3 linked regions of the Rhinolophus ferrumequinum genome follow. The protein of the gene in region 3 binds, or shares a complex with, the protein of the main gene of each other region. Links are inferred from orthologs where the notes say so. Each region holds a gene or a part of one and is shown on either strand. Other genes may lie near its edges. The genes, in order: CFP, CFD and CFB.

Region 1 (7,132 bases), on a different chromosome or scaffold from region 3:
CAGGTCACAGGACAGGGGCTTACAGGGCCCCATGGCCCCCAGGCCCCAGCCACTGTTGAGAGGGATAGGAGTGAGGAGAAAGGCCATCTCAGTCTCCCCCCTCAGCCCTTAGACCCCCGAGGCAGACCACCCCCAAACAAAGAGCTCCATGGTCACATGGTCTAAGATCTCTATCCCCTGAAATGGCAGAGCATCTGTGCCCGAATCAAGAGCAGAGTGTCAGAGGCCTCATGCCTGTGTACCTGGGCAGGGTGGCAGGCCACTGCAGCCTCTCTGCTCATAGGCTGGCCCTGGGCATGGCTTCCCAGGAGGATTTGTGGAGGGTGCAGGTGCAGAACACGTGCGGCTTCGTCTCTCCACAGGTGCGCTGGGTCCACCGTGGCAGGAGCCCGAGCAGGCGCCCCAGGGGCTCCAAGCAGCCCAGGCCCCATGTGCTGTGATGGGGTGGGGTAGGGAGAAGCCAAGTGTGGTCACGCTGCTGAAGTCCTCCCACGCTGGCAGTTCCCTGCTGTAACCTGCAGACCCACCCTGGGTACCTGCATCAGTGCCCTGTGGTTGCCCTCACTCACTGGGGCAGACCTGCTGCGTGTCACAGGCCTTTGATTCCTGTGCTTCTCCTGGACAGTGGCCCCCACACTTCGGGGTGGGGTTATCACATGTTCGACGACGGGTCTGGGTCCCTTTGGAGCAGGTGACAGAGCAAGGTGCCCAGGGCCCCCAGTCAGACCAGCCACCTATCTCTGTGGAAGAGAAGAGAGGGGGACAGGATAGAGGTGGGGGTGTCATTCAGGGATCCTCGCTTTCTCATATGCCCCACATTAGCTAATCCTATCCCCACATCCTCTGTCACACCTGTTCTACCATCATTGCTCATCTGGACTGTCGCAGTAACCTTCACACTGGTCCTTCTGCTTCACCCCTCACCACAGTCTGTCCTCTTGACAGTGAGGAGGTCACAGGCCAAGTCCGATCACATTTATCCTCCGCCCACAACCCGTATCACTCAGAATAAAAGCCAATGTCCTCACTGTGGCCCACGAGGATCAAGATCTCCTACGACCTCACTGCCCACCACTTTCCTCCAGCCCCGCTTGCCTCCTCCTCAGAGCTTCACAAATATCAGGCACAGTCCCACCCTCGGGGCCTCTGCCCTGCTCGTTCCCAGAGCCGGTGACAGGCAGTGCACATCTGCCTTGCCGATCCTCCTTACCAGGACAGCATGGCTGGATCTCACAGGCCTGCAGCTGCCACTCGAGGGTCCCAGGGTCCACCTTCTCAGAGCACTGCCCACCCCAGCCTATGCAGCGCCGGTGCCGAAGCTGGGAGCCCTCAGTGCAGGTCACTGAGCAGGGGTCCCACGGGGACCACGGCGACCATTGTGGGGACCTGTAGAGAGGAGCACATGTCCCACCCTGGCACGAGCTGGCCAGGATGGTGTGTGCGACTGCAAAGCATGGGCAGGCATCAGCGGGGGTGTCGGGTAAGTATGTGCAGAATGGATTGATGAGGGTACCTGCCTATTAGGGATGTTGGGGGACTGAATGGGGAGAGGTGGGTACACAGTAAGTACTCATCACTTACTTTCACGATCAGGGACCTGGAGCTACCCTTTTAAGTACCCCCAAGGACAGTGCCAGGTGTGCACTGTCCTTGGATTAGGGGCCCAGAATTGTTGTCAGGCCACCATCATGCAAACAGGAAGTGCTTAATAAATAGGAGCCATCATCCCAATGAGCTCAGAGACCCCATAAGAAATACCCCAGATCTGCACAGCATAATGCTAAATAGATGTGAACTGACGACATGACAAGGGGCACAGAGCTGCCTTCAAAAAGCTCCCGAAGCTCTCCAGCCTCATGGTGTATCTGGGATATACAGTAAGCAGTTAGGAAGTATGTCTGGCATACAGTAAACGCTCAATACATGTAAGCTGGCATCACGATTAGGAGACTAGAGCTACCCTCAGAAATCCGCCAGCTGTCCCCGACCTCGGCAATACATCTGGTATGCCGAAAGTGCTCACTGGATACGATGTGTCATCACAATTAGAGGCCTGCAGCTGCCCTCAGAATTCCCCAAACTCTCCCATCTCCACAATGCATCTGTATACAGTAAGCAGTCAATATGAGCTGTCATCACAATTAGAGAACTTGAGCCACCTTCAGAAATACTAGAGCTGCACCCCACCCACAATGCTTCCAGTATGCAGGAAATGCTCAATACACGTAAGCTATGCTACTCTTCAACCAGGGGTGATTTTGTACCCTAGGGGACATGTGGCAATTTCTAGAGACACTTTGGTTGCTGCAACTGGTGCGGGGAGTCACTACTGGCATCTAGTGGGAGGTCGGGGATTCCAAAAAACACCCTGCAATGCACAGGTCAGCCCTCTCAATAATAATTTTCTGGCCCTAAATGTCAATAGAGTTGAGACTGAGAAACCCTGAGCTATGGTCATGATCAGGCCCGTTGAGCCACCCTTGGAAATTCCAGAGAAGGAAAGAGTCCAGTTCTGGGCTGTCACACAGACAGTCCTTCCTGCCTCCCCCTAACCCCAGGCTCCCCCTAACCTGCATGCCTGACAGAGCTTGCTGTCTGGCTCCTGGAAGGCGTAGGCACTGTTGAGACAGCAGTCTTCCACACGGACACCTCCCCCCAGGAGGCCCTTGCACTTGCCCGAGGATTCCTCATACTGGGTAAAGCAGAGTACAGGGTCTGAGCCTGTAAAAGGGAAGGGGAGGAGGGCACGGTCAAGGGTATGGTGGGCCTGAGGGGCCAACTGGACCCTCGCCTACTCACCTGTGGATGGCAGGGTCAGCAGCAGCAGTAGCGGCGGGAACAGCAACCAAGAGGCCTGCGCTGGGGCGGGCATACTGAGCGGTGCCCCTGCAGCCTCACCAGAGAGGTGGCCTGGCTTTATGAGCTGACCTGTTCTGGGAGTCAGTGGAAAAAGAGGAACCAGGGGCAGGAGGAACTGGGAGGGCAAAGGGTAGCAGGGGGGAGGGGAGCATTGGGCAGGTCTCCTCGGCTCCCATCACTCCCTTGTCACCTCTGCCCATGAGCCACCTCCTCTACTCTCCCCTCTCTACTTCCTGTCTCACTCTTGATCGTGCTGTGTTTATCACTGTAACCCCGGCACCCCAAGCCCCACCTAGCAACCTTTCAGCACTCAATCAATGCTCTCTGTACAAATTCTTACTGAGGGAAAATGGAGCCAAGGAGTTTGGAGCAAGACAAACTTTCTAGCTGTGTGTGACCTTAGGCAAGTCACTTGAACCTCTCTGAGGCTGTTTCTTCACCTGTAAAATGCACACCCTCTACCACGACAGAGTCAACCTCATGGGGACGTTGAATAGGGTGAAATGAGTGTGGCACGCTCAGTATGTCCATCCTCATGGGGTGGAGAAGGCGTTGAAGTAATTGCTTCATCCTCCATCCTGACTTAACCCACCCTCTTTCCTGAAAGGGAGGTCCCCTGTGTCAGCAAGGGGAAGGGATGTCAGCACAAGGGAAGTGAGAAGGGGAAGTGAATGAGTGGAGGATTTGTGAGTGAATTGGGGATATCCAGTCCCAGGGGCCCTGCTGGGGACATCTTCAGTGCCTGGGAGGGGGTAGTTGGGAAGGCACCGGTCAGGTCATGTTCTATCAGTGTAACTTGGGCAGGTGACATCTTTGATAGGGTTTGTTGCGAAGATTCTGAGTTCAGATTTTTTGAAGTCCTTAGCACACTGCCTGGCATGTAGTACATACTTTTTGTGAAATACACTTATTCAACATTTATTGAGCACCTACGGGTGCCAGATGCTGTTCTCAGCATTGGATGGAGCAGAGAACAAGACAGCTCCAAATCCTGGCCTTCAAGGCTTACGCTCTAAACGGAGATAGATAATAAATGTCCCCTCTCTCACAGAGGCCTGCCCAACTACCCTTTTTGTATAGCACCCCATCACGCTCTAGCCCAGGGGCTCTCAAACGTTATTGTGCATCAGAATCATCTGGAAGGTTGGTTAAATCCCAAGCTGCTGGGCCGCACCCCCACTTCTGATTTCTGATTCTGTGGGTCTAGGGTGGGGCTCAAAAATGTGTATTTTGAACAGGTTCCCAGGTGACAGTGATGCTGCTTGTCTGGAGACCACACTTTAAGAACCATCATTCTAGTCCCTGACCCCTCTCTTCTTTTGTAGGTCTCATGGAGAAAACCTATTTTACTGTTAATAAAACCCATTTTCCATGCAGGTAAAACTGAGCTCCGTGGACCTACTATCTTTTTATAAGCCCTAATGAGTGAAATTTCAGAGCTGCTTTAACAACAAGACTTTAAGAATAACAACAAGGAGTCTAACAAATGCAATGTCATTTCCCTTGCATTCACGGAAGGAAAAATACCATTCTGCAAATTAAAACAAAGTAAAAGAAATTGATTGGGTCAGGTTTAACATTAAAACAGAACTTTCTCAAGAATATTAATCTTGTTTTATGGACGATAAGGTGTGTTGACATTCAGATATATTGTTTCCTGATAACAAAAGCCTGTCTCAGAAAGTGTTCCTTTGAACAAAGAGGTCTTGTTATTCTAAGCCATTAGACAACAGCGCTGTGTTATCCTGTGAAAACATACTCAAGAAACCTGTACTTCTGGTTGGCTGCTTTATCTAATCACCCGTTGCCCTGGTAATAATGTTATAACTGATATCTTCTTTGTTTCTAAACTGTACAAATACTCATAGGATTCCCTGTGGAAAAGGATTGTCCGCACTTTCATCTTCTCCCACATGTTTGGGCAATAAAATGACTGTGCAGATTTCTTATTTAAACAAAGAGTGAGAGTCTTGTCTCACGTACTTATTGCACTGCCATCTTGTTTGATATATTTATCTGTTTCTCGCCCTCACTCAAATACCAGTTCCACAAGGGCAGGGATTTTTGTCTGGTTTGTTAACCGCTTTATCTGCAGGGCTCAATAAACATCTGCTGAATGAAATAAATGAAATAAAAAAACTTTAGAGATTCTGTGAAGTGCCAAGAGGAAGAGTCTGTCTGGGTTGGAGGTAAAAAAGTGGGCATGATAGGGGTGGAGATAAATAGTGTCTCAAGTACCAGGACTGGACCAGAGCTTATGAGAAGAGGGAAGGGAACTCAGGCAAAGCCCGGGGGAAGTCCAGCATTACCAGTTTTGGAGAACTAAGAGGAGTGGAGCATAGGGCCTGACGAGGAGTGATGTGCAGAGAAAGAGGACAAACAGAAAAGGGCTTTCTCGTAGGCCTGGCACGTTTGATTTGTGGTCTCTCATGCAGTCTCATTTGGTCTCGATCATTTTCTCTCTTTTTAAAATATAGTTACACAGTTCTGGATTTACAGCCGCTACTGTAGTCTCTTACGAACAGGCTCATATACATACTTGACCACATGGCCTCTCAGACATTCTCTCAGTCACTCACTCAAGGAGTCATTTTCTCTGTCACTGAATCCCAGTCTTATGACCCTCTCCTCCTAAGAATTCACACACATGATCATGTCTTATAGCCTGTCTCACTTGGCCAGTATTACCAATATTTACTCTTACCAATCAGTTTTTCACATGCACACAAACATTCACACCTTTTTATGTTTCGATCACTCAGGCCATCATTTTGTTACATACACAAATAGTCACTGATTTACAGCCACCACTAGCTTCTCACGAAATTCCTTGTACACACACAAAATCACCATGTCTCCTACCTCTTCACACTCAAGTCCCCGTTTATTACTAACATACCCGCAGTCTGATTAGATATAGCTAAGAGTTTCACATGCATACACAATCACACAGTATCTCAGACACTGTCTGAGTCGCCTAGTCTCACATTTCTTCTCAAGTAGCTTCCAACATACCAGTCCTTGATTTATGGCCTTTATTGAAGTCTCTTGCAAAGAGTTCTACACAGACCCCTACAATCAGTTGCTCAGACACTCTCTCAGTCACCCATTCAGTGGCATGATCACTTTCCCTCAGTCAGTTTCTGACATCTGTGGTCACTAGTTCACAATTGCTACTAGGCTCTCAATACATTTTATACACACAGTCTCTCACGGCCCATCTTACACCATCATTTTCCTCATACAGTCAGCTGATCATGTACAAACACAATTACAGCCTCACCAGTTTTTCACACACAACGATCACGTGGTCTCCCAGTCTCATATTCTCAGTTTTTCACAAACATATAGCCTCTGAGTTAGTCTTATGAAATGTTTTGCAGACCCACACACTCTCATGTACTGCTCAGTCATCAACTTTCTTACGCAACGCTGACTTTGTATTGTTACTTATCATCTCTTACTCCCAGTTATGCGGTCTCGTGGACCGTTTCAGTCACTCAGTCTCACCATCATTTTCTCTCACACTTTCACAGTCCCTGAACCTGTGGGGCTAGACTGGAGGAGTAACTGTAAATCAGTTTGCCGCTACTCTCAGGTATACACACACATAATTACAGCCTCTCATACTGTCCCAGGCACCACCATGTTTTTCTCACTTTCTCACACAGTCTTTGCTAGTCTCACATGAACAGTTTTCATACACACAATCACGTGTTCTCGTATTTTGTGTCTCAGGCACAAATTTGGCTTCACAGTCATTTTTTTTCCTCATACAATTCACTTCTCACACATGTGCTCCCATGACTTTAGTTGATATGACTTGCATGAACAGTGTCATACACAATTCATCTCCCAACACTGAGTCACCTGCTTACGTACAGGGAAGTTTCTCACCTACACACAGTGCCCGACAAGCTCTATCTACCACACTTTCATGCCCACAGGCTCTCACACCTTGTTGTTTTGATCACTCAGTCTGTCTCGCTCACCAGTAGCCTGTCAAGCAGTGACTGGTTTGCAGTCCCCACGACCTTCTCGTAAACATTGTTTCACACACAGCACTAGTTTACTGTACAGTACCTTAATCATTCATTTCTACAGTGATTTCCTGACACACAACCACAATTTCTCACAGACACAATGTCAAGTTTGTGGTTACAACTTCCCCTCTCTCACATGATCTCACACACACACACACACACACACACACACACACAGCTCTCCACAGTTTCTTTTTCATACCTGGTTACCAATCTGCAGTCTCTACTCC
Region 2 (7,066 bases), on a different chromosome or scaffold from region 3:
AGGAAAAAACTGTATTAAAATTGTAATACACAATATATACCGATAACAAAAGATGAATACAAGTCATGTTTGACTTCTGCAATTACAAGAGGTGCTCGAAGTGGTTACCATCCGTGTAATTTTAATAGTTTTTTCCTTTCTTAAAATTGTATGCATTTGTTTTGTTGGAGCTCTCTCCTCTCTCTCTGTCTCTCTCTCTCTCTCTCTATATATATATATATATATACACACACACACATATATAGTGAAATATTATTCAATCATAAGAAAAGAACAAAATCTTGCCATTTGTGGCAACATGGATGGACCTAGATGGTATTATGCTGAGTGAAGTAAGTCAGATAAAGATAAATACCATATGACCTCACTTATACGTATGTGGAATCTAAAGAACAAAATATTAGGTTGGTGTAAACGTAATTGCGGTTTTTGCAATTATTTTTAACCTTTTAAACTGCAATTACGTTTGCACCAACCTAATAAATGAACAAACAAAATAGAAACAAAAAATAAAGTCTGACGGGATGCAGAAGTGGGTGACTTTATTGCTTCCTGGTGACTCCAGGCCCTCAGGTCCTCCTCAGGCGGCCTCAGCCCCAGCCATCACACCATCGATCCAGGCCGCGTAGCTCGCCACGCGCGTGTATATGCCCGGCTTCTTGGGGTTGCCGCACACGCGGGATCCGGAGGTGACTACGCCCTCGGCGACGCCCCCGCATACCAGCGGGCCTCCGGAGTCGCCCTGCATGGGACAGGGCCGTGAGGGCTGGTGCACCTCCGCAGGCCCTCCTGTTCTCCTGTGTTCACCTGGAGCTCCGCCACTGCAGTTCCTGTTCCTCCCCCTGGCCTCAACCTGCCCTCTCTCGCATCAATCTGCCCAGGCCCTGCCCACCACTGCAGGCCCCACCCACCAAGGCCCCGCCTTCCCAGCTCTCAGCTCGGCCCCTTCGATTGGCCCCGCCCTCCATGCAGCCCCGCCCTTCTGCTGGCTCCGCCCCACTCCGCACCTTGCAGGTGTCCCGGCGGTTGCTCTCTGCGCACATCATGCGCTCCGTGATGGTGCCGTCGTGATACCTGCGCAGGTTGCAGGTGTCTCGGTCCATCACCCGCAGGGTCAGGTACTGCAGGCGGTCGGGCTGGCGGCCCGTGTGGCTAACCACGCCCCAGCCGGCCACGTCGCAGAGCGTGCGAGCGGCCACGTCGCGGTCCTCTCGCTGCCAGGGCAGGGGCTGCACAGCTGGGCCCAGCTCTGCCTTCTCAGAAAGCTGCAGGTGGGAGGAGATGGGCGTCAGGGCTGGGGTCCGGGGGGCATGTAGCAGGAGGGACTACCGCTGGACTCGGTGGGACCTGGTGGGGGGAGGCGGGCGCCAGGTCTGGGGTCTGGGGGTGTTGGATGCAGCAGGAGGAACTGCCGCTAGACTTGGCCGACCTGCAGCAGGAGCAGGTCATGGTCGATGGTGTCGTGCCGGCTGTCCGGGTGGGGCACTGCGCGGAGTACGTCGTACAGGCGCTTAAAGGGTTCCCTCTGCGACAGCGAGTGCGCGCCCAGGAGCACCTGCACCTTCCCGTCGGCCCTGGGAGTGGGGTAGAGTCCACGTCAGAGCAAGGTCCGCACTCCAACCCCTCCCCCACTCTATAGCCCCGCACCCTCGTCCAGGCCACTCACACGTCCTCCAGGCAATGCGCTGCGCTCAATACCCACTGCTCGGCCACCAGGAAGCCGCCGCACACGTGTTTGCCATTCACCTGCACCGAGGCCATGTAAGGCCGTTGGTGGGAGTTGGCCTCTCTGCCGCCCAGGATTCGGCCGCGGGGCTGCGCCGCTGGGGATGGGCAACAAGCGCGTGAGGACGTAGGGGATGCCTGCAGCCCAGCCCACAGACGCCGTTTCCACACCCCAGGCCGCTCTACCCGCCTCAGACCTGGAATTCCATCCCTGGATCCCCACACCCCAGCGTCGCAAGCTCAGATGCCTGGGGGCCTGGGAAGGATAGGGAATGCCAGGGTCTGGGGCACATTCCGTCACACACAATGAGCAGCACGGGTTCTATTTAAACCTAAGAAAAGTCCCAAGAAAAGTGGAGCTGACAGGACCAACACTCCTGCTGGCCTGTTCGGCCCGCCGGCCGCCAGTTTCCACTGTAGAACTGCGCATTTCAGATCCAAGTTTTGAGAATTCCTGGACTTTCAGAGTCTTCCATTCACAAGGACACTGACCCCTTCTGCCCACCGAGAGGGGCTGGGAGACAGTCCTGTGTGACAGAGGGGGTCCCTGGCTGACTGCTCTGTAGGCGGGTGGCCCCTAGCTGGTCCACTCCAGTTACAGGTTCACTCACCGCATAGAGCTGCTCCTAGGAGGATCAGAGCCGCCAGGTGCACTGAGAGGTTTGCCATGATGCTGCTGTTACCGCCACACTGATTCAGGCGGGGTCCTGGGACACTCTTATGAGGGTGGAGGGGGTGGTGGCTGCCACAGGCCCTGTCTGCTGGGTGGGCAGTCACCCAGCTAGGAAAGAAAAGCCCGCCCCCGCCGGCCCGCTTCACTCTCCTCTGGGTGGGGTTCTCTCCTGCTGTACTTTGCACCACAAGGGGTGCCTCCTGCCTCCGTGCACCTGGCCCAGGGTTGGCTCTGGTGTGGTGAGCAGCCCAGGGTTGGCTCTGGTGTGGTGAGCAGCCCCTTAGGGTGGGCAGAAGCAGGGCGAAGGGACAACCCACACCCACGCCCCCAGAGCACCCCTCCAGCCCCAGGTTTCGAAACAGCAGCTGGAGGCCACGGTTTATAAACAACCCACTTCCTCATTTTTTTGCTCCTCCCTTTTCTCTCTTCCTTTTCCAGCTTGGAGGGGGTAGGAGGAAGGTCACCCCACACCCTTGTCCCATTGCTGCAGCTCTGGAGCCTGATACCCCAACAAGCAGGACATTAGAAAGGTGGTGTGTAGGGGCAAGTGGAAAGACTGTGCCTTCAACAAGGAAATTTAAATGGAAAGTTCAGTGTCTGCCTTTAGGTGTGGCTTGATCCAGGTGCCTTGAACAATGTCAGGCCGCTGTCTCTGGTTTCTCCTTCCTCCTTGATGGCTTTTCTCCTAACCAGGCTCCAGCGTTGTGGCCTCAGAGGCCCCAGACTCAGCCCAGTGGCTCAGTGCCCCCCCTCCGCAATTCCCCATCACTCCAGCCAGTGTCTCCAGGCTGTCTCTGATTGGCTGAGTTTGGATCACATGCCCCCTCCCAAACCAGTCACTGCAGGCAGGGGATGGCAGGTTCTGATGAGCAGAACTCGGGTCACATGACCCTCTCTGTAAGGTGGGGATGGGGGATCAACATCTCATGTACCTATTGGGGGGGGGTGATGGGACCAGAAGGGGGGGATGGACCTCATATGACCCCAGTGGGAACAGTACACAATACTTTCCCCTTTTTTTTTCCTTCCTCACAGCGGATTATTTCATACATACAGAAAAAATTAGAAAATAACATGTGATCTGTTAGATCCTAACATATTTCCTTATTAAAATCAGTTCTGAACAAATGCCCATGAGGATATGAGGTCCAAATTATGTGAGTAAGAGTGTTTAAAATTGCAACAAAATTTGGAAACCACCCTGGAAGATGGGGCGGTTCAATAAATAACCCTGATGGTCCCCAGATGTCATGTGGATGTGGAAAGACTGCCTGCGTATAGTATTGAGTGGAAAAAGCAATTGCATGGCAGATGGTCACATTTCTGAGCAGCTGTTCCTTGGAGAGGTGGGATAAGGGGACACCCTGCGGGAAGAGCAGTCAGGCAGAGGGGACAGCCAAAGCAAAGGCCCTGAGGGGGACCTAGGCTTCTGAGCTCCAGCGGGAAGGTATTGGGGGCCAGGGGACAGAGAGGGGAGAGGAGATTCATCCCAAACTCATGGCGTGTGTGGGGGACAGCATTACCTGATGGTATTTCTCTATTTGCTTGCTTAAGTGATTGTTTCTTCCCCCACTGTCAGACTGTGAGCTGCGTGATGGCAGAGGCCATATCTGTTGTGGTCCCTGCCTGTGGCCCCAGGAAGGTAGAAGAGGGGTACAGGCTGGTCCCCTCTTTCAGGGCTGCAACTTCCATCTGGTCTGGGGGATGCCTTGGAAATCATCTGCTCTGCCCTTCCCCCTTTGGCAGAGTAAAATGCTGGGGAGGTGAAGGAGGGCTCGTCTGTGTCACCCAATGAGACCCCAACCCCCCTTACCATACAGCACCTCACTCCTCCCCGCAGGGAAACGGAGGCTCAGAGACAGTGAGCAAGTTGCCCAAAGTTAGAGCTTGGACTCAAAGCCAGGCTCCCGAACAGGGCTTCACCTCTCTTGCTCTGTAAAACAGGGCACTGACGGGACCGGCCACAAGGGCTGGAGCCTCAGAGGGCTGGATGAGCGAACACTTGCAAAGACTGAGAATGATTCCTGCACCTGGTAAGCACTCAACGAACACCTGCTACAGTGCTTTGTGTCATCACCACGTGCAATGCTAATTTAATCACACAAAACCCGGTTTTACATGAGGGAAACCAGAAATGGCAACTGGCATTCTTTGTGGAGGGTGGAGAAGGAACTTACTCCAATGCTCATACTCGTGAGATTCCCAAGATGCTCTCATGACTGCTTTCAACGCCCAATTACACAACCAACACCAAGACACAGTCTACAAAACAGAGGGTTTTTATTGTGCCAGATGCTGCATAACGGAGCGTGGGAAGGCCCCAGCCAGGGGCAGGTGAGGTGGGGTGACAGGGCCAGCCCCTTCTAGCGGATCCTGCTTGCAGGGTCCCTGGGGTGGAGATGGGGCTGGTCACCGGGGCTGCGAATGATGGAGTTGATCCAGTCGGCAAACTGCGCGACGGGGGCAAAGGCGTCTGGGTACAAGCCGGAGCCACAGCTTCCCCGGATGAAGGAGTCAATCCCATGGATCAGCCCGTTGCAGACAAGAGGCCCACCGGAGTCCCCCTGTGTGTGGAGCCAGACTAGGTGGGGAGGCTGGGCTTCCGGGGCTCCCCACCCACTGCCCTTCAGAGTTGGGAAGTCTTTCCCAGGGTCTGGCTGCAGTTCCACTTGCTGCAGTCTGGGCAGGAGTGAGGGTGGAGTGGTGAGGGGATGCGGGTACTTACGAAGCAGATGCCTGCCCGCCGGCGAGGCACCATTGTGCACACATTTGTGGGGCGGCAGAGGGATGTTACCACGGTCACGTTGAGCTCCTGCAGGACTCTGGGTGGTGGCCGGTTGGTGCCCAACCGGCCCCAGCCCATGGCTAGGCACTGCACCCCATTGCCCACGCCTTGGTCCTGATCGGGCAGCTGGGCCACCTGCACATTGGCATTGATGGTGGCTGACCCATTGAGCTGTAGTGGGCAGGGCAGAGGACAGGAGAGTCACACAGGGAGGTGGGCACCGGCCCTCCCCTTTCTGGGCCTCAATTTCCCCACATAAGGTCCCACCATGGTTCTGGGATTTTACGGAGTAGGCTGCCCACCCAGTGAGATGCTCCCCACCCTCAGTCTCAGTTTTCCCATCTCTGAAATAGGAACAACAACAGTGGCTCAGGGCGTCCCTGGATGTGTATTGAGAGGAGTAAACATACATACTCAATATAACAAGCTATGGGCAACACCAATGACAACGAAACCGTATTCTAAAACATTCCAGAGAATAATCATAACTCTGCCAGCAGTGGGGAAGGGAGGGTTTCTCCCTCCAGTTTCCCTTCAGCCCAGATGTGGGGAATTTTGCCATTTCACAAAGGCAGGAACAGTCCCTGGGCACAGGGCCATCAAACACAAATAATCATAACATTTTGTTGATTGACAACTAGATCTCTCTGTGTCTAGATCTCTCTGTGTCTTCTCGTTCACTCTCTCAACAGCTTTGCCAGGAGGGGCTTGTTTCCCCAGGTTACATGAGTGGAAACTGAGGCACAGAGACGAACTATCAAGTTAGAGCCGCATGTGACCTCCAGTGTTTCCGCTCTGTCTCTGCCCTTTCCAAGCCTTTGGCCCTGGGCCTTTGCACCTGCCGGTCCCCTGCCTGGGCATCACTTCCCACCCCACTGGCCTTGCACCTTCAGAATCACGATGTCGTTCAGCAGCCTCTCGGGGTCGAAGCCATTTTCAAAGACTTGCTGGATGGCAAACGACTGTTGGGTGGGCTCACGCTGCCCCAGGTTGTGTGCCCCCAGCACCGCCCGCACCCTCTGGAAGTTTCTATAGGCAAAATGGGTGCAGGAGGTGATTCGAGGTGGCCCCAGGCGTTGGGGGTAGCTGAGAGACTCCAGAGCTCAGCCAAGCCCGGCTCTACACCCAGGGGTAGCATCGCCACCCTGGGCAGATGCTTGGGCTCATTGGCTGAACGCCCCCACTTGGGCCTGGTAGGGGAGATGCGTTCATGGGGGACCCCTGGAGGAGCCTGGGCCCTGGTCTCACTCTCCCCCTTTGACAGATGTGGAAACAGAGGGTCTGAGAAGGGAAGACACACGGGGTGGCGAGGGCAGGGAAGGCGATCACTCACATGCCGTTCACACAGTGCGCGGCCGACATGACAAAGTTCGGGGCCACCAGGGTGCCACCGCAGAAGTGGCCTCCTTGCCGCTGCAGAGACACCATGAAGGGCCATGCGTGGGGCTGGGCCTGCCGACCACCCACGATCTCAGAGGCTAGCGCGGGACCTGGGGATACGTGGAGGCGGGGGTAGTGAGTGCCACGCAGGAGCCCCACCTGCTGAGCCAGTCAGCCCTTGAACTCTCACCAGGAACCCACAGATCAGGGCTCTTCATGTGCCAGATGAGGAAACTGAGGCACAGAGAGATAGGGGGCCTCCTACTGCCCCCTGCCAGGGCACAGCTAGATCTGGATTTAATTTGGCTTTGCAGTCCCCAGAGCATGCCCAGTGATGCCCCAGTTCAAACTCTGGGCTCTTCACCACTCTGGACCTCGGTCTCTTTCTCTGGAAACAGGTCTCCCCATCCCAGCCATCACCTCCCCATGAGGGTGAAGAGGCCACGCAGGTTTAGGGCACAGTGGAGAGGCAGGAATGGAGGCCGAGAGAGAGATGGACAGAC
Region 3 (7,521 bases):
TCCCTGGCATTTCCCCTCTTGGCAGTACAGATAACTAACTAAGGCTTCGGCAGTTGCAGACTCCAAAAGAACAATTCCTGGGGTTCAGAGTAAATAAAAATTGCACTGACTTTTGACCAGAAAAGAATTTCAGAGAGAGCGCCGCAGATAAGGAAGGGCAGCTGGCTTTGAACTCCCAAGTCTCACTTTCCCCTTGGGTCCTTTCTTTTCTGTCCTACCCCAAACTGCCCCTCAGTGGAAAGCAGATTCTTCTTTAAAACTCTGGCCCGAGAAAAGCAAAACCCAAACTCCATTCCCTAACTCCTTAGCATCACTGGGCCAGGATTAAATGCTCAAAAACACTTTTTAAAAAAGAAGCAGAAACTGAAGGGAAATAGTTAAAGAAAACACAGGGGCAGGATAATTGTCTAGCACCTACTGCAACTGCTCCATCCTGGCCAGTGCGAGTTGCTTCCTGAGGGAAGACTTCTGAGCATCTCACTCCTTACACACAACACAGGGCCCTCTGGGAGCAAAAAGGCCGCGACTCCTTATGCAAAGTGTGGGAGACGGCAGACTCTGTGGGCCACTGCAGGGCGGTTCTGGCTGGCACGCACACTCACGGAGAGGCTGGGCCTGGTTGGTTGTTGTGAGCCCAGATTTTCCAGTGGGAAGAGGTGGCTCCAGGCTCCTCTGCCAGAGCCTGCATGTTACAGAGGAAGACCAAATCTGAAGTTTTTCCTCCATGTTATGTTCAGAGTTCTTTTTATTCATTCAGTCATTTAAAAGATCTTCTGAGAGTCTCTTCTGGGCTAAGCAGCATTCGAAGGATAGAGCTATAAATGAAACAGACAAAAATGCCTACTTGCATGGGGATGCCATTCTGGAGGGGCCAATGCACTAGTTTGCTCGGGCTGGTACAACCATTTATGCAAACCTGGGTGGCTCAAAACAACAGGAATCCATTCTCTCACATTCAGGAGGCTAAAAGTCCAAAACCAAGGAGTCAGCAGGGCCCTGCTCCCTCTGGAGCCTCTAGGCAAGAATTTTTTCTCACTCTTCCAGCTTCTGGTGACCCTAGGCCGTCCCCGGCTTGTAGCAGGGTCACCCAGGCTCTGACTCTGTCTTTGCATCCCTTTCTTCCCTCAGTGCCTCTCTGGGTTGTCCCACAGCATTCTCTCTATGTCTGTGTCCCAAATCCCCTTAGAAGGACACGGGCCTCAGATCAGGGCCCACCCTAATCCAGTGTGAACTCATCTTAACTTGATCACGTCCTCAAAGACCCTATTTCCAAACAAGGGCACATTCACAGGTTCTGAGGTTTAGGACTTGAACATATCCTCCGGGGGAAACAGTTCTACCCACTGTTGGCATTAAATAAGATAAATAAGGAGCCCGCATGTCACGGTAGCTAGTGACATGTGCTAAGGTATAAAATGAAGCAGGCAGGAATGGAAGTGTCTGGGGCATTGCCATTTTAGACAACAAGGCCAGGGAAGGACTGGCTGAGACAATGACATTTGAGTCAAGACTTAAAAAGGTAAGAAAGTGAGCCATGTGGGAAGTCTGCGGGGTGAGGGAGCCAGGCAGAGGCGTGGCTTGTGCCAAAGGCCTGAGGTAAGAGCACCTGCAAATTCGAGGAACTTCAAGAAGGTTATGTGGCTGGAAGAGGGAAGGGCAAGGAGTGGTAGAAAATGAAGCCAGAGAGGTGTGTGGGTGGAGGTTCCAGCTCATTAGGGCTTTGTAGGACCCAGTGAGTTCCAAATCACAGCCTCCTGTCTCACGGGGTAGCCCCCAGCCACACCCACAGTTCTGGTGATTTCCTCCTCCCCATCAGACATCTATGCCATCGGGGTGGGCAAGCTGGATGTGGACTGGAGAGAACTGAATGAACTGGGCTCCAAGAAGGACGGCGAGAGGCATGCCTTCATCCTGCAGGACACACAGGCTCTGTACCAGGTCTTTGAGCACATGCTGGGTGAGTGAGCTTCGTCCGCCCTCTCCAGACTGGGGAGGCAGTCCGGAGCCAGCCAGGGGCACAGCTGGAGAACCTGTTCCCAGCGCCCCTCACCTGCATCCTTCCCCGTCTGCTCCTCACACCTGCAGATGTCTCCCAGCTCATAGACACCATATGTGGGGTGGGAAACATGTCAGCTAATGCCTCTGCCCAGGAGAGAACACCCTGGCATGTCACTATCAAGGTAACAGGAAGGAGGGACGGGGCTTGGATCCCAGAGGTGAAAGTGGCCATGGGCCAGAGACACAGCAGGCCCTGAAGATCGTCTGTTCTCCTGTAGCCTAAGAGCCAGGAGACCTGCCGCGGCTCCCTCATCTCAGACCAGTGGGTCCTGACTGCCGCTCACTGCTTCCGCCATGCCGACGAGGACCGTTCCCTGTGGAGGGTCAACGTGGGTGAGACAGGGCCCCTACCAGGTTCCTGACCGCACGGCCAGAGCTCCCACACCTTGTCCCTAGTCTCTGGGCCCTTTAGGAGCCCTGGTCCAGCCTAATCTGCCGTATTGTTTCTAGGGGATCCCAACTCCCAGTGGGGCAAAGACTTCCAAATTGAGAAGGTGGTAATCTCCTCGGAGTTCAATGTCTTTGCCAAGAAGCCTCAGGGAATCCTGGAGTTCTATGCTGATGACATTGCGCTGCTAAAGCTGGCCCAGAAAGTGAAGATGTCCACCCATGCCAGGTCCCAGCCTGTGGGTGGGAGGGTGTCCTCTGGGGTAGAATGCTCCGGGGAGCCCCCGAGAAGTGGGGAACCAAGGATGGGCCTGTGTGACCCTCGCCCTTCTCCCCAGGCCCATCTGCCTTCCCTGTACGGTGGGGGCCAATCTGGCCCTGCGGAGACCCCCAGGCAGCACCTGCCGAGAGCACGGTGAGCGCTGGGGCTTCAGATGTGTGAGGAGCTGGGACCTGGGCTTGGGGGTGACTACACGAGCTGTGCTGCCGTCCCCAAGTCAGGGTAAAGGGACCAGCACCAACCTCCCCTTCTCCTTGACTGCAGAGAACGAACTTCTGAACAAACTGAGCGTTCCTGCTCATTTTGCGGCCTTGAACGGGGACACACTGAACATTAACCTCAAGACAGGGATGGAGGTGAGGGTCCCAGGCCTGGGAGGCTGTGGGCGATGGGATTCCCCCGGGGCGTCTACTAGAATGTCTGTTGGCCTCCTCCAGCTCCGGCTGCTTTCTCCGTCTGAGCCCGAGTCACTCCTGCTCCAAGGCCTAGCTGGAATGCCCGGGGCCTGCTCATTCCATTCTTCTCTCCTGTTCCTCCCTTACTGCAGTGGGCAAGCTGTATCGAGGTCGTCTCCCAAGACAAGAAAATGTTCCCCAATTTAACAGATGTCAGAGAGGTGGTAACAGACCAGTTCCTATGCAGTGGGACCGGGGAAGATGACAATCCCTGCAAAGGTGAGCGCCTCCCACCCAGCCTCAACTCTGGCGCCTGGATTCCTGAGGGGAAGGCCACCTGTGGCCAGCACGCAGGCCAGGACACTGCACTGCCTCCATGACAGGGGAGCAGAGGAGAGTTGGGTGACAGTCTCTTGTCCCTTCTTTCTGCAGGAGAATCCGGAGGAGCAGTTTTCCTTGAGCGGAGATTCAGGTTTTTTCAGGTGAGGAGAGAAGGGAGAAGCTCACAGGACTGGGGTGGTAGGATCTTGGCCTTGTGGGGGATGAGGGAGGCCTTTGGAGGACACAGGGAGGTTGGGGCTTGGAGCTGGGGCTGTGGCAGCCTCCTGTCCCATTCTTGCCTTCTTCTAGGTGGGCCTGGTGAGCTGGGGTCTCTACAACCCCTGTAGCAGCACCAATAAAAACTCCCGCAAGAAAGCCCCCAGGGGCAACGTCCCACCGCCGCGAGACTTCCACATCAGTCTCTTCCGCCTGCAGCCCTGGTTGAGGCAGCACCTGGAGGGTGTCCTGGACTTTTTGCCCCTCTAATCATGCCCACTGAGCCCTCTGCTGTCCTGTGGGGCCTGCCATCTGTCCCATGTCCTACCTCTGAATGTCTGTCCCCAGACCCATCCTCACCCAGTGCCCACCCTCAGCTTAACGTGACTCACTCTCCTTTCACTTTCACATGGAATTCCCCACTTATGAAATTAATAAAAATCAGTGATTTCCACATCTGTCTGTGCCTCTGCCTGGGGGGTGGGGAAGCAGGAATGATTCCAGGAACTGCAGGAGGCAGGTCAGAGACCCTGCTGGACAAACAGTGGCTGGACTCTGCTCCGTAACACTCAACGGGGGTGGGGGGAGCTGGGGCCTTATTTCTGGTCTGTAAGGGGGCAGTCTGGTCTTGTTGGGGAGGAGCTGTGGCAGAGAGGAGGTGTTGAAAGGGAGAGTCCTGGACCTTGCATGGCAAAGGGTGGGGCTTGTGCAGTTTCTAGTTCCTCGACTGGTAGCTCAGTGGGGCCCTCCCTCTTGGACATTCCGGAAAGTGATGTGGGTAGGGCGGGCAGGCTGAAGCACAGGTGCCAGCACACAGAGTGCATAAATCGCTGGCAGTTGTGAGGGGCAGGGGGAAAGGACTGTGACCAGGCCTAGGTCTAGAGTTTCAGCTTGGACACTGAGCCAAGCAGCACGTAGTGCAAGCTGGGGAAGGCCACCCTGTCTCCAGCCCAGCCTCTCTCCTGCCTTCCATCATCATGGGGAGCAACCTCAGCCCCCGACTCTGCCTGGTGTCCTTGGTCCTGGGTCTCTTGACTAGAGGTAAGCCAGGGTCACCGCTTCCCCTCCTGCTGCCCCAGCACCCCTCCCTGGCCTTGTCAGGCCAGGCTTCATCAGCCTGTTCCTTTAGGTGTGAGCATGACGTCCGAAAGCCCCTGCTCTCTGGAGGGAGTAGAAATCAAAGGTGGCTCCTTCCGGCTTCTCAAGGAGGGTCAGGCACTGGAGTACGTCTGTCCCTCTGGCTTCTACCCATACCCTGTGCAGGCTCGCACCTGCCGATCCACGGGCTCCTGGAGCACCCTGCAGACCCAAGACCAAAAGATTGTCAAGAAGGCAGAATGCAGAGGTTGGAGGGTAGTGAGGGTGGGCGTGGGCCAGCAGAGGGCAGGAGCAGGTGGTGGTCAAGGTCCAGCCTAGGATGAGATTAGAGTGTGTTGAGACCAGGCAGGCTGTCGGGGGCTGGAGGGAGGTGGGAAGGAGGGAGGAGGAAGGAGGAAGGAGGAAGGAGGAAGGCAGCTAACTTTACTAAGCATTTACCCAGCACTGGGCAGCCCTGGCAGTTAAAAGAACACTCGGGAGTGGGGAGGGAGGAGCAGCGGGACTCCCCACAGGTTGAGGGATCCTCCAGGGGCTGCAGGTAGACTCTGCCCCTGTGGGACCGAGAAGGTGCCATTTTTGAGTGACAGGGACCCCGAGACCAGGAGGGATACCCTAAAGGGCAGCCCTCCCCTCTCAGTAACTTCTGCTTGTTCCTCTCCTCAAAGCAATTCGTTGCCCAAGACCACAGGACTTTGAGAACGGGGACTATTGGCCCCGATCCCCCTACTACAATCTGAGTGACCAGCTTTCTTTCCACTGCTATGATGGTTACACTCTCCGGGGCTCTGCCAATCGCACCTGCCAAGCGAACGGTCGGTGGGATGGGCAAACAGCCATCTGTGACAATGGAGGTGAGAAGCCTTGCCACCGCCACCCCTCCCCTCCCAAGGTAGCCGCTCCCTGACGGAGCTGCAGCCTGAGGAACGGGCACTGTCACAGCTGTGCTCCGCCCGGCCCTCTGGGCCTCCAGCTTTGGCCCTCACCTCTGTGTCTCATGCCTCTGCAGCGGCGTACTGCCCCAACCCAGGCATCCCCATCGGCACAAGGAAGGTGGGCAGCCAGTACCGCCTTGAAGACAGTGTCACCTACTACTGCAGCCGGGGGCTCACCCTGCGTGGCTCCCATCAGCGAACATGCCTGGAAGGTGGCTCTTGGAGTGGGACAGAGCCTTCTTGCCAAGGTGACCCTTGACCCATGCCCTCAGGTCAGATACTGCTTTCCCAACCTCAAGTTCCCACAGTGGCACACTGTCTGCTCCCTCTCTCCCAGCCCAGCTCTTTCCATTTCTAAACCTCCCTGTAGAACATCCTCACTTCTGAGCCCTTCCCACCCTGGAAACCCACCATCCCCTCTCTCTGGTCACTGTGTCCCTGACCCTCCCAGACATTTGACCTGATTTCTGACCTCTCCCAGACTCCTTTATGTACGATACCCCTGGAGAGGTGGCTGAAGCCTTCCTGTCTTCTCTGACGGAGACTATAGAAGGAGTCGATGCTGATGACGGCCACAGCCCAGGTCTGAAGGCAGAGTGGGAGGCGGGGCAAGGAACCAAGGGGAGGATGGAGAAGGGGCAGGAGAAGCCCGCGTGCTGGAGCTTGAACGTCTCTGGTGGCACCTAGGGGAACAACAGAAGAGGAAGATTGTCCTGGACCCCTCAGGCTCCATGAACATCTACCTGGTGCTGGATGGATCAGACAGCATTGGGGCACACAACTTCACAGGGGCCAAGAATTGTCTCACACACTTCATTGAGAAGGTGGAGCCCCCCCTCCCTGAATGTGGGGACCCTGAATGTGCCTCACTGCCCTGCCAGGACTAGCTTCCAGTGTTCCTAGCCCCTCTGAGCCACAGGGTTCCAGAAAATCCCTAGGTTCTATTCTGTCCTTCCCCTTTCCTTGAAGCTATTTCTTGACTTTTCCAGCCCCTGTGAACCTCAGATAACCAGTCAGCGCTTGAGTCTCTTACTGACCTTCCCTATCTCAGCAAAGATGCTGAATTCTCTCAAGTATTCTACTTGCAGTGTCATGACCCTTTGCTTCCCTCAGGTGGCAAGTTATGGGGTGAAGCCAAAATATGGTCTAGTGACGTATGCCACAGATGCCAAAACTTTGATCAGAGTGTCTGAAGCACAGAGCAGCGACGCAGCCTGGGTCACAGAAAAGCTCAATAAAATCAGCTATGAAGGTCAGAAGTCGTAAGGGAATGGTGGGAAGTTCATTTTGAGGTCACAGGGTTCAGGGGTGTTGTGAGTCCACGTGGGGATGCAGGGAGGACCATTGTGTAGTCCATGGCTGGTCAGCAGTCACTGGGGGAACGGGCATTAGTGGGAACCTGTTAGGGGCTGAGGGTCGCTTTGTGGTCAAAGGGAAGTCGGTGGGGTGACAACTGAAAAAGTTGAAAGTTGAAAGAGGTGGGATCTCAGTTGCTGGTAGGCCTCTGGGGTTCAAGGGAGGCTTGGAGGACTAGATGAGGTGATGATGTCTTCTGTTTCCATAGACCATAAGTTGAAGACGGGTACTAACACCAAGAAGGCCCTCCAGGCAGTGTACAGCATGATGAGCTGGGAAGGGGACACCCGTCCTGAGGGCTGGAACCGCACCCGCCACGTCATCATTCTCATGACTGATGGTCAGAAGGGCCCTTTCTCCTGCCCGGCTCCCCACCCTCTCACACCAGTGTGTGGCCTTTAAGTCCACATGTAACACTGAACTCATGGTTGGGGCTTTGAGCAGCAACCGTGCTCAGGGCCCCCGCCATGTTGATCAT

What was found.
Region 1: the proteins of CFB (region 3) and CFP are in contact, whole or in part, in a crystal structure (PDB 7NOZ), measured with the Homo sapiens proteins. The link is inferred for Rhinolophus ferrumequinum from reciprocal best matches to the Homo sapiens genes CFB and CFP. Residues at the interface, in NP_001701.2 of Homo sapiens: Glu54, Gln56, Ser78, Thr316, Tyr317, Leu349, Ser351, Met394; in NP_001138724.1 of Homo sapiens: Arg329, Arg330, Asn331, Lys333, Pro341, Met420, Val421.
Region 2: the proteins of CFB (region 3) and CFD are in contact, whole or in part, in a crystal structure (PDB 2XWB), measured with the Homo sapiens proteins. The link is inferred for Rhinolophus ferrumequinum from reciprocal best matches to the Homo sapiens genes CFB and CFD. Residues at the interface, in NP_001701.2 of Homo sapiens: Glu298, Ala301, Ser302, Ala332, Asp333, Ile469, Asp470, Glu471, Ser472, Glu518, Tyr519, Lys585, Asp758, Glu759, Asp760; in NP_001919.2 of Homo sapiens: Asn157, His158, Ala159, Gly160, Arg161, Arg162, Arg182, Thr183, Asp186, Arg200, Val228, Cys229, Gly230, Asn231, Arg232, Lys233.

Annotation. Positions count from the first base shown.
Region 1 is NC_046284.1:86,352,045-86,359,176, reverse strand, and holds the start of CFP (properdin), read right to left. Parts: upstream 3,090-7,132; 5' UTR 2,873-3,089; coding exon 2,800-2,872; intron 2,722-2,799; coding exon 2,571-2,721; intron 1,387-2,570; coding exon 1,211-1,386; intron 741-1,210; coding exon 570-740; intron 435-569; coding exon 243-434; intron 53-242; coding exon 1-52. UniProt on the Homo sapiens protein: A positive regulator of the alternate pathway (AP) of complement. It binds to and stabilizes the C3- and C5-convertase enzyme complexes. Inhibits CFI-CFH mediated degradation of Complement C3 beta chain (C3b).
Region 2 is NC_046301.1:62,053,532-62,060,597, forward strand, and holds CFD (complement factor D), read right to left. Parts: upstream 2,633-7,066; 5' UTR 2,395-2,632; coding exon 2,337-2,394; intron 1,824-2,336; coding exon 1,667-1,823; intron 1,575-1,666; coding exon 1,430-1,574; intron 1,266-1,429; coding exon 1,008-1,265; intron 743-1,007; coding exon 581-742; 3' UTR 518-580; downstream 1-517. Other genes in the region: ELANE (neutrophil elastase), read right to left, coding at 4,762-4,962, 5,124-5,354, 6,071-6,212, 6,517-6,673.
Region 3 is NC_046286.1:2,395,236-2,402,756, forward strand, and holds the start of CFB (complement factor B), read left to right. Parts: upstream 1-4,430; 5' UTR 4,431-4,634; coding exon 4,635-4,698; intron 4,699-4,786; coding exon 4,787-5,002; intron 5,003-5,420; coding exon 5,421-5,606; intron 5,607-5,761; coding exon 5,762-5,935; intron 5,936-6,168; coding exon 6,169-6,270; intron 6,271-6,374; coding exon 6,375-6,511; intron 6,512-6,800; coding exon 6,801-6,939; intron 6,940-7,251; coding exon 7,252-7,383; intron 7,384-7,521. Other genes in the region: complement C2, read left to right, coding at 1,817-1,957, 2,086-2,180, 2,277-2,391, 2,509-2,674, 2,784-2,860, 2,990-3,081, 3,273-3,399, 3,553-3,602 and 1 more.